Linked DNA regions of Yarrowia lipolytica. The protein of the gene in region 1 purifies or fractionates together with the protein of each later gene. This does not show direct contact. Links are inferred from orthologs where the notes say so. Each region holds a gene or a part of one and is shown on either strand. Other genes may lie near its edges.

Region 1 (4,833 bases):
TCCTCAGCCACGTCCTTGTCACGAGACTGGTTCTTGAGCACAAACAAGACAATGGGAAGCACGAAAATCAGAGAAATAGCGTCAAGAGGAGAAGACATGGCCACAGAATGAATCTTGTACAGCACCCGCGTGATGAGAGAGTCACGTGACTCCTTCTGGAGGTCCTCGCTCACGTGATTACCATACATTCTGAGCAGGCAGACGGCCAGGAAGGGTCTAATGGAACCCAGCTTGTCGTTGGTGATCCAAGACATGTCCGTGAGAGTCTTGGTCACGTGACTGGAACAAAGCACATCCACGTTGGGGTGTCTGAGGAGCTCGAGCATGAGCGTCATGGCCGGTCCAAACCACGTTTCTTTGCCGTTATCAACCGTCATGGCTTCCTTGGAGAGGGCGGAAATGATGCCCATGAGCCGGGTCACGTGATCTGCGACTGCGGTGACCTCCGTTCTAATTTCTGCCTCCTTCTTCATCTGTTCGTCTACCTTGATTTGTTCCTCCTTGGTGTACTTTGGCTTTTCGACAACACCCTTCTTCTTTTGGAGCTCCTTCTTGAGGTTTTCTTCCCACAGCTTGTCCTGGTATTCCTTGGAGTTTTTGTGAGCCACACGCTCCGTTCGCTTGATATCGAAAGCCAGTTCGTCAGCGGGAGTGTTGAAGATGGTCACGGCCTCAGTGGTGACACAGGAGAGGTTCGAAACAGAGAACTGCTCGGCAACCTCACCAGCAAAGACGTCAGGAGCAATGAAACAGACTGTAGCGATGGTAGGATAGAGGTTGGAGGAGGCAGCCGAAGACAGAATCGACTTGACATGCTTCTCATTGTCCAACAACAACTTTCGGGGGTCTCGAGATGCTCCCAGAACGGACTCAATCCACAGTCCGACGCCACACAGTACCTCTAGCCCATCGACAAGAGCCTTGTCGCAGTTGTTCTCGGCACTAAACAGCGAGTAAAGCAACTTGGAGTACTTTCTCTCGCTGACGTGGGTGTCAGAAATTCCAGAAATGACAGCCCCAGCCAGACCATCCGAGTAATTGCTCCTCAGAGCGGGACCAACCAATCTAGAGCAGTCAACGTCCACCTTGACCTCGGAGTCGCCATAAGCATAGAAGAAGATGGTCTTACCAAAGTCGGGGGCATTGTCAGGGTTAACCTCCTTGAACAGCGACTCCAGAGCCTTGAAACCAGTGACAAATTCGCCTGCACTGAGTTTGGTGTACACTCGAGGAGATAGAGCCAGTTCCAGAGCCTTGTCAGATTTTACAGCTTTTCCAGCCTTGGTGAGCAGGTAAACAGCTCCAAGACCAGAAATCGCACCCTTGACGATGGTGGAAGAAGCGAGAATCTTCTCCAGCTCACCTGTCACGTGCTCAGCGTGTTGGGGGAAGTTGACCAGCTGTAGAACCCAGGTCTTGACGACGCCAGCGTTGGAGTCAGACAGTCCAGAAGAGAGAGTCTTAGCCTGATCAGGGGAAAAGTGGACCAAAAAGGCACGTGACAGAGCAGTCAGGGCAATCTCGTTCTTCTCCTTGGTAACCACAGGAGCAAGGGCGGCAGACAGAGAAGGATCGGTCACGTGACAGCCAGCAATAGCGTTTCCATAGGCCACTTTTTGCTCCAACACAGTCACCTTAGACACAGTCTTGGCCAACTCGGAGTAGAGGGTCTCGTGAGAGATAGCACAGGCCACTCCGATGCATGTGACAGCTCCATCTCGAGTGAGCTGATTGGAAGACTTGAGACATGTGACCAGGGAAGCGGAAATGCCGTCAACCAGCTTCTTTGCTGACTCATCGTCTTTATCGAGACTCTCTAGCAACAGGGGAATTGCGTACTCGAGAACAGACTCGGGAGACCTCAGAATCGACTTCTTGGTGGCATCAAAGATATCAGCCGCGACCTTGGACTTTTGGTCACGAGACAGGTTGCCAAAGTATCCCGTGCAAAACTGTTTGGTGGCGTTTTTGCAGGGCAGAACCTTGGCGCCGAGCACGTTGGCGCCGTAAAACTGCGAGTAGGCTGAAAGATCCAGCTGCTCAAAAGTTTGAGGAGCATTTTCAGCGCATGCAGATGCTAGACAGCCCAGCAGAGCCGTAGACGTGGGGGTGCCTGGGAGGCATACGTTCAGCAGTTTGGTCAGAGCTCCGTTAGCTGTGATGCAGGCTGCAAACGCGGCTCGGGTCTGCCTCAGAGCGCTCTTGGCCATTCGCTCCCGGTTGCATGCTGAGCACAGGTCCACGAGCTCGGCCTGCATGGAAATGAGGTCCTTGAAGACAAAGTCGTTGAGCTCGGACCCGGCGTTGGTCAGGGAGAAGGACACAAAGTAGTTGGTCCACTCCAGCAGCACCATGAGGTTGTTTGTGGAGGACTTTTTGTAGATGGCAAACTGCTTGGCGAGCACGGGCACAACCTTTTGAAGGGCGGCAGGGTGTTCCTTTAGCAGCAGTTTCCACGTGTCGACTACCACGTCCCTCGATACGTGGTCGGAGTAGTGTGGAATAGTCTGAAAAAGAGCACTGAGGATAGACGGAAGGGAGTCGGGAGAGGACAGGAGCATTTGCTGTTCCTTCCAAAACTCCAGCCGGTCTTTGGTGGATGACATCTGGGTTAGTGAATGAATGGTTGTGCGTGACAAAAGAACACGAACCCGTCCAGCAATTGCACGGAAGCTGTATTTCTATTCTGAGCGTGGACAACAATCATCTATGAGCTCAGTAACGAGCGCACTATTAATGCACAGCGTCATTGGGGGTCAACAAGTGTTGAGAGTGAAGTCTTAGCTCGAGAGAACACATTTAGGAACGAGATAAGGCTTCAAAAGACATTGGGCATAGCACATGAGTCGACAAAGAGATAGACTTGGGTTCAATCCGCAGATGAAACCAGCAAGGCTCTGAGTGAGATCTGGAGTCTCTGAGACATCAGGAATTGCGCGCGACGGACAATCTGAGACTTGCACAAGAGACTTGCACAAGAGGATGCAGGCACGAAAGCGCAACAGGGACTTGGAGAAAAGCTCAATCAACTGGGGACCCCAAAACCAACTGATCCAGATGAGAAGACGATGACATGATGTGATAATGGACACGGAAGTAGATCACGATCCAGCCTGATCACACCGTGTATCATAGCTGTTCACTCTCCAGCTCGTTGTCACTGTGTCTGAGGATATGTGTCTTATCTTGGCTCTTCTCCAGAGCCCACCGATCAACCGGGGATTATGGTGAAATCTCACAGATGATCGCTTTGAGTATGAGGACTGAGTAATTGGTTAGATCTGTAGTTTGTTGATCTGTCTGTCTGAAGTTGTCTGAGTCGGTCTCTGCGTCATTCTCTCTATCTGTCTGTCTGTCTGAAACAATCCACATCTAATCCACACCAAGGTATCACGATAACCACCTGAAAATCCGAGTCCTGAGATCAGACAAGGTGACATGACTCCACACTCTCCAGAACAAACCCTTCAACGGACCAACCAACCAGTCACCAATATCATTCTAGAACTGGCCAATGTCGCTCACAATTCGCTCCTCACACACATCTCTCCATCGCCCACATCTCTCGCTCACCCCTTCACTCTCAGTACCTCTCATAACCCTCTATAACCACCTCATTAACCATCGTGTATAACTCACCATAATTGTCTGTGTTAGTGTTGTTCTGGTTTGAGCCACACTCTCCGTGTCATTCCCCCCAGTCCCCTTCTCGTACTCACTGTATTCAACAGCTGCGATGGCCTGTATAATCCTCAAAGTCCAAACTTGTAATTTGTATGTGATCCGACATCTTTGCTTCAAATGCAGGTGTGACACTTTTTCATGGGTTAGGGCGGGAAACGGGAGGTTAGGGTTGTGGGGACCCCAGGATGTGATAGAAATGCAGACATGTTGTCGGCGGTGAGATATATAGATTGATCACTGCTTAGTGAATACAACAATCTACTTTATATTTGTCGAAGACTCTTCTCCATCTAATTCTGGGTCACGTCCCTCATAAAACCGCATCTCGAGATGCTATCACAATGATAATGGTACCATCGTGACCGCTAGAACCGGGGGATTCTGATGATAGTACGATTTCACTCTCTGATATCCATACTGGACGTTTCACGTCATTCAGTCATATCTTGCACAACAAACCGGCTTTAAAGTCCGGTGAAAAATCTGAACTTTCCAACATTAAGTTTCAGCAGCTTCATTCTACAGATTACGAGTATTATTGGACACTGCAACTACTCGTCATAGCTTAAAATACAGCTAATATCGATTGTTATCTCTTTTCAACACCCTACGAACCACCATGGACCCATCCACAATTTTCGGTCAGATCACATCTCTTGCCTTATTTAAGGTTTGGAACTCGTCTTGGTGAAATAAAATTAAACTGTAAACTCAAGTTACCCGGCCTCTGCGAAATATAAAAACCACCGTTTCACACCTACAAACGGCAACTAAACCGGCCAGTGATGAACGACGTTGTTATTCCGTGCCAGATCTCTTTACGAGAGTCGCGTGACATACCATCATGCGACTGAAGGGCGCTGTGGATCAAAACCCGCGTCTCAACCACCACATGGGGTCTTTTGCCAATCTGAGGCTGGTTTAGTTGACTACAGTTGGTATTTAGTCAAGTCAGGACATTTTGTCAAGTGCATAGTTAGAATTTGGTAAGGCAGTATAGTGGAGGCTGATTACCAGTCAAGTAAATGGACCGAGAAGAGAGACGTGGATATATCTCTGGAAGGAAGGGGGATTGGAGTAGAGAAGTCGAGCCAACAAACAAATGGATTCGACAGGATACAAAAATCACACAATTTCCAAAAGATCCAT
Region 2 (5,247 bases), on another chromosome or scaffold:
CCTGGGTCGGTTGTAGTAGTGGACTGGTTGTACCAATATCATTGATCACCTCTAACACACTCTTGATGTGGTATGTTGTCCACGTAGGTCACCGCCTGATCATCACGCACCATTGTTGTCCTGAAGCCCTCATCGCGTGTCGAATAGCGTCCAATAAATAACGCAAGGCCTCATCCTGTCTTCTTGTACTCACCCTTCTGAGGGGGGGAGCCCATGTGTCCCCACCATCCCATGTAGTGTCCGTTGCCTCCCATTTTGATAGATGTGTTTAGTTAGTGAAGGTGAGATGATTTTCGTGAGCTTTGGCTTTGAAAGATACCCGTGTGATTCCATTGGCTGTTGGGAGGAACGGTAGGGTAACCCTGGGGAGCATCACTGTGGTGTGCTGGGAGCAAAGCTTATTGTGGGCGAATGGAACACTTCCAATATGCATGGTTCAGTGTCAGCAGCAAGCTGAATGATGAGACAATATGGGGACAATATGGAGACAGTAAAACGAGATGATAACTGACGATAACATGATGAACCCGAAAAGCATACATTCTGGATTTATGATTGGATGCTGCTTATTGATATATTTGTACAAATCTTGTAGGCGATACTCCTCAACATACATCTCTACAAGGACATGTTCATACTCTTGATGTCATTGTTATACATCTATCGTTTGATTTCTCTATGGCTCTATTAATCCGTGGGAGCCGTTTCTCCACCGCACCAGGCATGATTAAGTGATTGTAGCTATGGAGTGTACATGCTTGTAGTTGGTACAGTCTAGTTTAAACGCCGTAGACGTCACGCAGTCGCTTCTGGATGATGGGAGGCAGCTGCTCGGTCACGTCCTTGTCAAAATTGGGGTGCATGCCCTTGAGGCCACCCAGCACCTGTCGAAAGGTGTGCATCAGCGCTTCGCTAGGCTCCAGGTATCGGGCCACGGCATTCACAAACATGAGCAGGGTGGAGTTGTCGAGGGCTTGGGGGTTGGACGAGATGATGGTGCACATGCCCACAAACGCGCTTTCCTTCTCGCTGTTGTCCATGGCGTCATGCATGTTGAGACACCAGGCAATGATGAAGTCTGGGATTCGCTGCGCGAAAATGTCGGGCATGGTAATGCCGATTCGGCCAATGGCGGTCGAAGCGTTTTCCAGAACTCGTGGCGATGCATCTCGGGTTCGCAGAAGCGCAATGAGCCGCTCGGCAGCAGATGCCTGCAGAAGAGGTCGCAGCTTGTCGCCGAATCGAAGAGCAATCTCTCCCAGTGACCAGCAAGTGTTGCTGACGGCATCAGGCCAAATGTGGTTGTACTCGACCTGGTTGAGCAGCTCCTCCATCAACTGATCCATGTAGGGCTCCAATGGCTGGGGGCACAGGGCGGCCATGTCTCCAATGAGCGCAAATGTCGATTGCCGCACGTCAAACTCGTCATGGCAGCACACAAGAAGCAGCTCCATGAATGGGGGCTCGCTGTTCATCATCAAGGGAGCTGCCTTGTCCTTGAGACCGAGCACCAGACCGTCGACAAGATCAATGGCAGTCACCATAAAGTCTCGCTCGGCAGGATCCTGGGACGGGTCGTTGGAAAAGTTCTGATCCTGAACCAAGCACGAGTGCAGCAGACGAGCGCATCGGTCAAACACAGGGGGAGCATAGGGCTCAAATGCAGGGCCCATGTACGAGGCCACGGCAGACATGCACTCAAACAGTGGCCACAGGGCGTTGTCGTCGTCGCTAATCTGCTCCCACTTGGCAATCAGAGGCTGCATCAGAGTCTCCATGTATTGTTGGTTTTCGGCAATTTCGGCGCCGCAATACTTGACCAGAGTCGAAACTGCGTCGTACAGGAACAGCAGCGACTTCTTCTGGTAGCGTCGGAAACAGAGCGCAAACTGCTCGAGAATCTGGCCGAGGTATGGAGTCAGCATGTTTCGGGCCTCGTCAGTGAAGGTGGCCACGGCAGAACAGCCGGCAACCTGCACCTTTTTGTTTCGGTCCAGGGCACATGTAAAGAGACCTGTAAGCGTGGGGATGAAGTAAGTGTCCTGCTCGGACATGCTCTGTTCGCAGACCCAGGTTGAGAACCGGCCCAGGGTCCAGCAACAAACCTGTCGAACGGGGAATTGAGGGTCAGACAATCGCTGAATCAGGAAGGGCACCAGCTCGGGCAGATGAGGAGCGACCATATCCTGGCATCCATCAGCAATGGCTCCAAAGGCCAGAATGGCAGCTTCTCTGGCAGGCCACTCGTCAGAGACAATGGTCTGCTTGAGGTAGGGCATTGCAGCTTCAAGAACCTCCTCGGGAAGAATGTTAGAAAGTCGGTCAAGAGTGGAGGCGGCACATTTTCGCAAATTCCAGGCCTCCAGGCCTCGCACCTCGTCGTCCTCCTCATCGTCAGATTCGTCTTCATCGGGCTCCTGTCCCTCAGCCTCGTTTTTCTTGTTGCCGTGGGCGGCCTTTTGTCGGAAGTTGATGGGCTTGAGATCCTCCTCTCGGTCGGCCACGTCGGCATCGTCCTCGTTGATGCCCTCCAGCATGAACACGTCTGTCTCGGAGTAGACCATGGCTCGAAGAACAGCAGGAACAAGGTCCCCAAGATGCGGCGACAGCGCCTCCGGGTTGGGGTCCAGCTCAGTCAGCAGCAACAGGAACTCGCAAGCCTGGAAGTCCAGAGTGTCGCCCTCCTCGGAGGCAGAGATGCAATGGAGGGCGTACTGAATGACTCCTCCAAGATGGGGTGCAATTTTCTCGGCGTTGGTTCGCAGGATTCCGGTGAAGGCATTGCAGATCTGGATTCGGGTCTCCACATCGGGCGTGTTGGCCAGACTAAACAAGATCTCCAGATACTCGTCCATTCGGCTAGCAATGGATCGGCTCTCAACCTCGACAATGTGGTTGAGACAGGTGAGCGCCTGCACTCGCTTCTGGTGCGACGAGTCGGGCGACCGGACAAACTCGAGAAACTTGGGCACCATGTACTCCAGTGGCCGCTGGCTGCCGTATGTCTGGTCCAGCTCCACGGGCATGTCTTCGCAGATCTTGGACAGGGCGTCCATTCCTCCGAGCTGGGCGTTCGCGTCCGAGCTCTCGGCCAGGCCCATGAGTGTAGTCAGCCCGTCGGGCCACCCGCTGATTCCCTCCCGCTGCATCAGCGACGCCACAATGGTTCCTGCCGTGTTTCGGATGATGTTGGCGGGCTCCACCAGGGCTGTGAAGACGTGGGCCTTGACGTACGTCTTGCCGGCATCGTTGAGATCCTTGAAGTCGAATCTAATCAGGTTTTTAAGCAACAGTCCGGCCGAGGACCGCACGTCGAGCGGGCCAGCCTTGTCGTCAATCAACACCGCCATGAGGTAGTTTGCAAAGTCAGGCTGGGCCTGGGCCTCTCTAAGCTGCTGGGTGGCCTGGCGCTGGGCGGCGTTATTGCCCCGCAGCGAGTTCTGCAGCACCTCCAGGAGCTGCGCGTGGACTTGGGGTTGCGGTTCCCAGGACATTTTTTCTCACAGTGTCGGTGTTAAATGCTGTTTGGGGTGTGGTGCACTGATCGTTGCAACTGTAGTGAAGAAGACAGATGGCAGCAATAAGGTTGAAAAGTTTCCCTGCACGTGCCATCAGGTTGGGACTTGTGTGGGAGGAGTGTTAAGGGGGTCGGGATGGGAACGGGTGGTCAATAAGAGGTGATACCAACAACTGGTGGTAAGGGGAGTGAAGGAGACTGTTTTATGTCATGTGTTTCTATTGATTCAGCCCTTAAAATCTTTAGTTTGTCTCATATTTTGCCACTTTTGTGGAACCTCTATTCCTGGGTGGTGGTGTATATCTTTCAATAATGCATACTCTTACTTGACTATTTACTTGGTGATTTGTTGAGCATTCCCTGTGTCCAGCGCATTTGATATTTACCCGTCTCCTTCACGTGCAAAGCCCTCTGGCCATCATACGAGTGCTATACACATGCGCGGCCCAAGGAGGGGAAATTGACAACAAGCTAGTCACAAAGACAAGCTGATGCGCAGTGACTTGGCCCCATGCCACAAGGACCTGTTATCACGACTTGATTGTTTCCTGTACTCGTACAAGGTACAGGCACTTTCACTTTCAAAAGAACCCTTTGATCGACACGGTGCATACATGCTGTGTGTGTGTGTGTGTGTGTGTGTGAGTGTCTTGTTGCTGGGGCGACTCCGAGTGGAGACCTCTATCATGTTGATGATTACGCCATCTGACACCTACGATTGTCCTGGTATGAAGATCTACGTTTCGCTTGTTTCATATCCACATGTCATTCAACGGTCAGCTACTGTACTTGTATTACTGTAATACGTACGACTTGTGCTTGTTCGAGTCGTTGACTTGTCTCACATGAGAGTCAAGTTACCCCCGGTTCTGTATTCAGCGTCGTCAGGAGAGGACAATTACGAGACGAGAGCTCGTTCAAGTACCGTATTAAGTGCTTGTAGACGGCTCAATGAGTAATCAATAAATTCACGTCACTGGTCTGTTTTCCAACCATGCCGGCACAATTTCACAGCACCCATACAAGTACTTCCATTATACGAGTACGATAGTTCTCACTCGCCATGGTCTTGGCAAGAACGCGGCAATACAATAACCACCTATGAACAAGTAGCTACAATACAGTAAAATGAAACAAGGCTGGTCTCAGAAACGACGGCGGTGCCCAATTAGACAACCCCACTCGTCTTCTTCTGTCTAACAAGCCCTTTTATTGTCTCAAGTTGCCTTTTCCAAGCCTACCTCGGTTCTCGGGACGGGTCGTACTTTCGCGTCTATGAGTTTATTTGAACAAACGAGATAAAGAGGTGCAACGTGATGACGGTGACATTATCACGTTGATTGAACCCATTAGGAAAGGAAGAGCTTGTTGAATTTGTCTAATGATCGGTCACTATGACTCAAATTGACCACCCAGGCCACAGACTCTCCAAACACTCTGGTCACGCTTTTACTTGTACTTGTACTTGTACATCCTATATCGGACCCTGATATCAAGATGAGCCAAATCAGTTGCAACCAGCGAGCCAAATCAATCACAAAAAATGGCGTTGTAAACAACTGTCACGCAAACGAAATCGCTGTAGATAAGAGCGGGGTAACAGCTGCAACACGAACGACTGTACATATGCCTTTGTGTTATCCCCAAGCCGTCTACTTGTACAAGCCCTGGATATAGTGATCACTGAATCAACCCCAACAACTCAACAAGGTTCTCATGAATGATACAAG

Evidence for each region.
Region 2: the proteins of YALI1_D21702g (region 1) and YALI1_F02794g purify together in Saccharomyces cerevisiae (affinity purification with mass spectrometry; 3 studies listed by BioGRID). This does not show direct contact. The link is inferred for Yarrowia lipolytica from reciprocal best matches to the Saccharomyces cerevisiae genes GCN1 and KAP104.

What each region holds. Positions count from the first base shown.
Region 1 is NC_090773.1:2,168,535-2,173,367, reverse strand, and holds the start of YALI1_D21702g (uncharacterized protein), read right to left. Parts: upstream 3,134-4,833; coding exon 3,050-3,133; intron 2,607-3,049; coding exon 1-2,606. UniProt on the Saccharomyces cerevisiae protein: Ribosome collision sensor that activates a translation quality control pathway when a ribosome has stalled during translation. Directly binds to the ribosome and acts as a sentinel for colliding ribosomes.
Region 2 is NC_090775.1:275,992-281,238, forward strand, and holds YALI1_F02794g (uncharacterized protein), read right to left. Parts: upstream 3,495-5,247; coding exon 780-3,494; downstream 1-779. Other genes in the region: YALI1_F02758g (uncharacterized protein), read right to left, coding at 194-254. UniProt on the Saccharomyces cerevisiae protein: Functions in nuclear protein import as nuclear transport receptor. Serves as receptor for arginine/glycine-rich nuclear localization signals (rg-NLS) and PY-NLS in cargo substrates. Its predominant cargo substrate seems to be mRNA-binding proteins.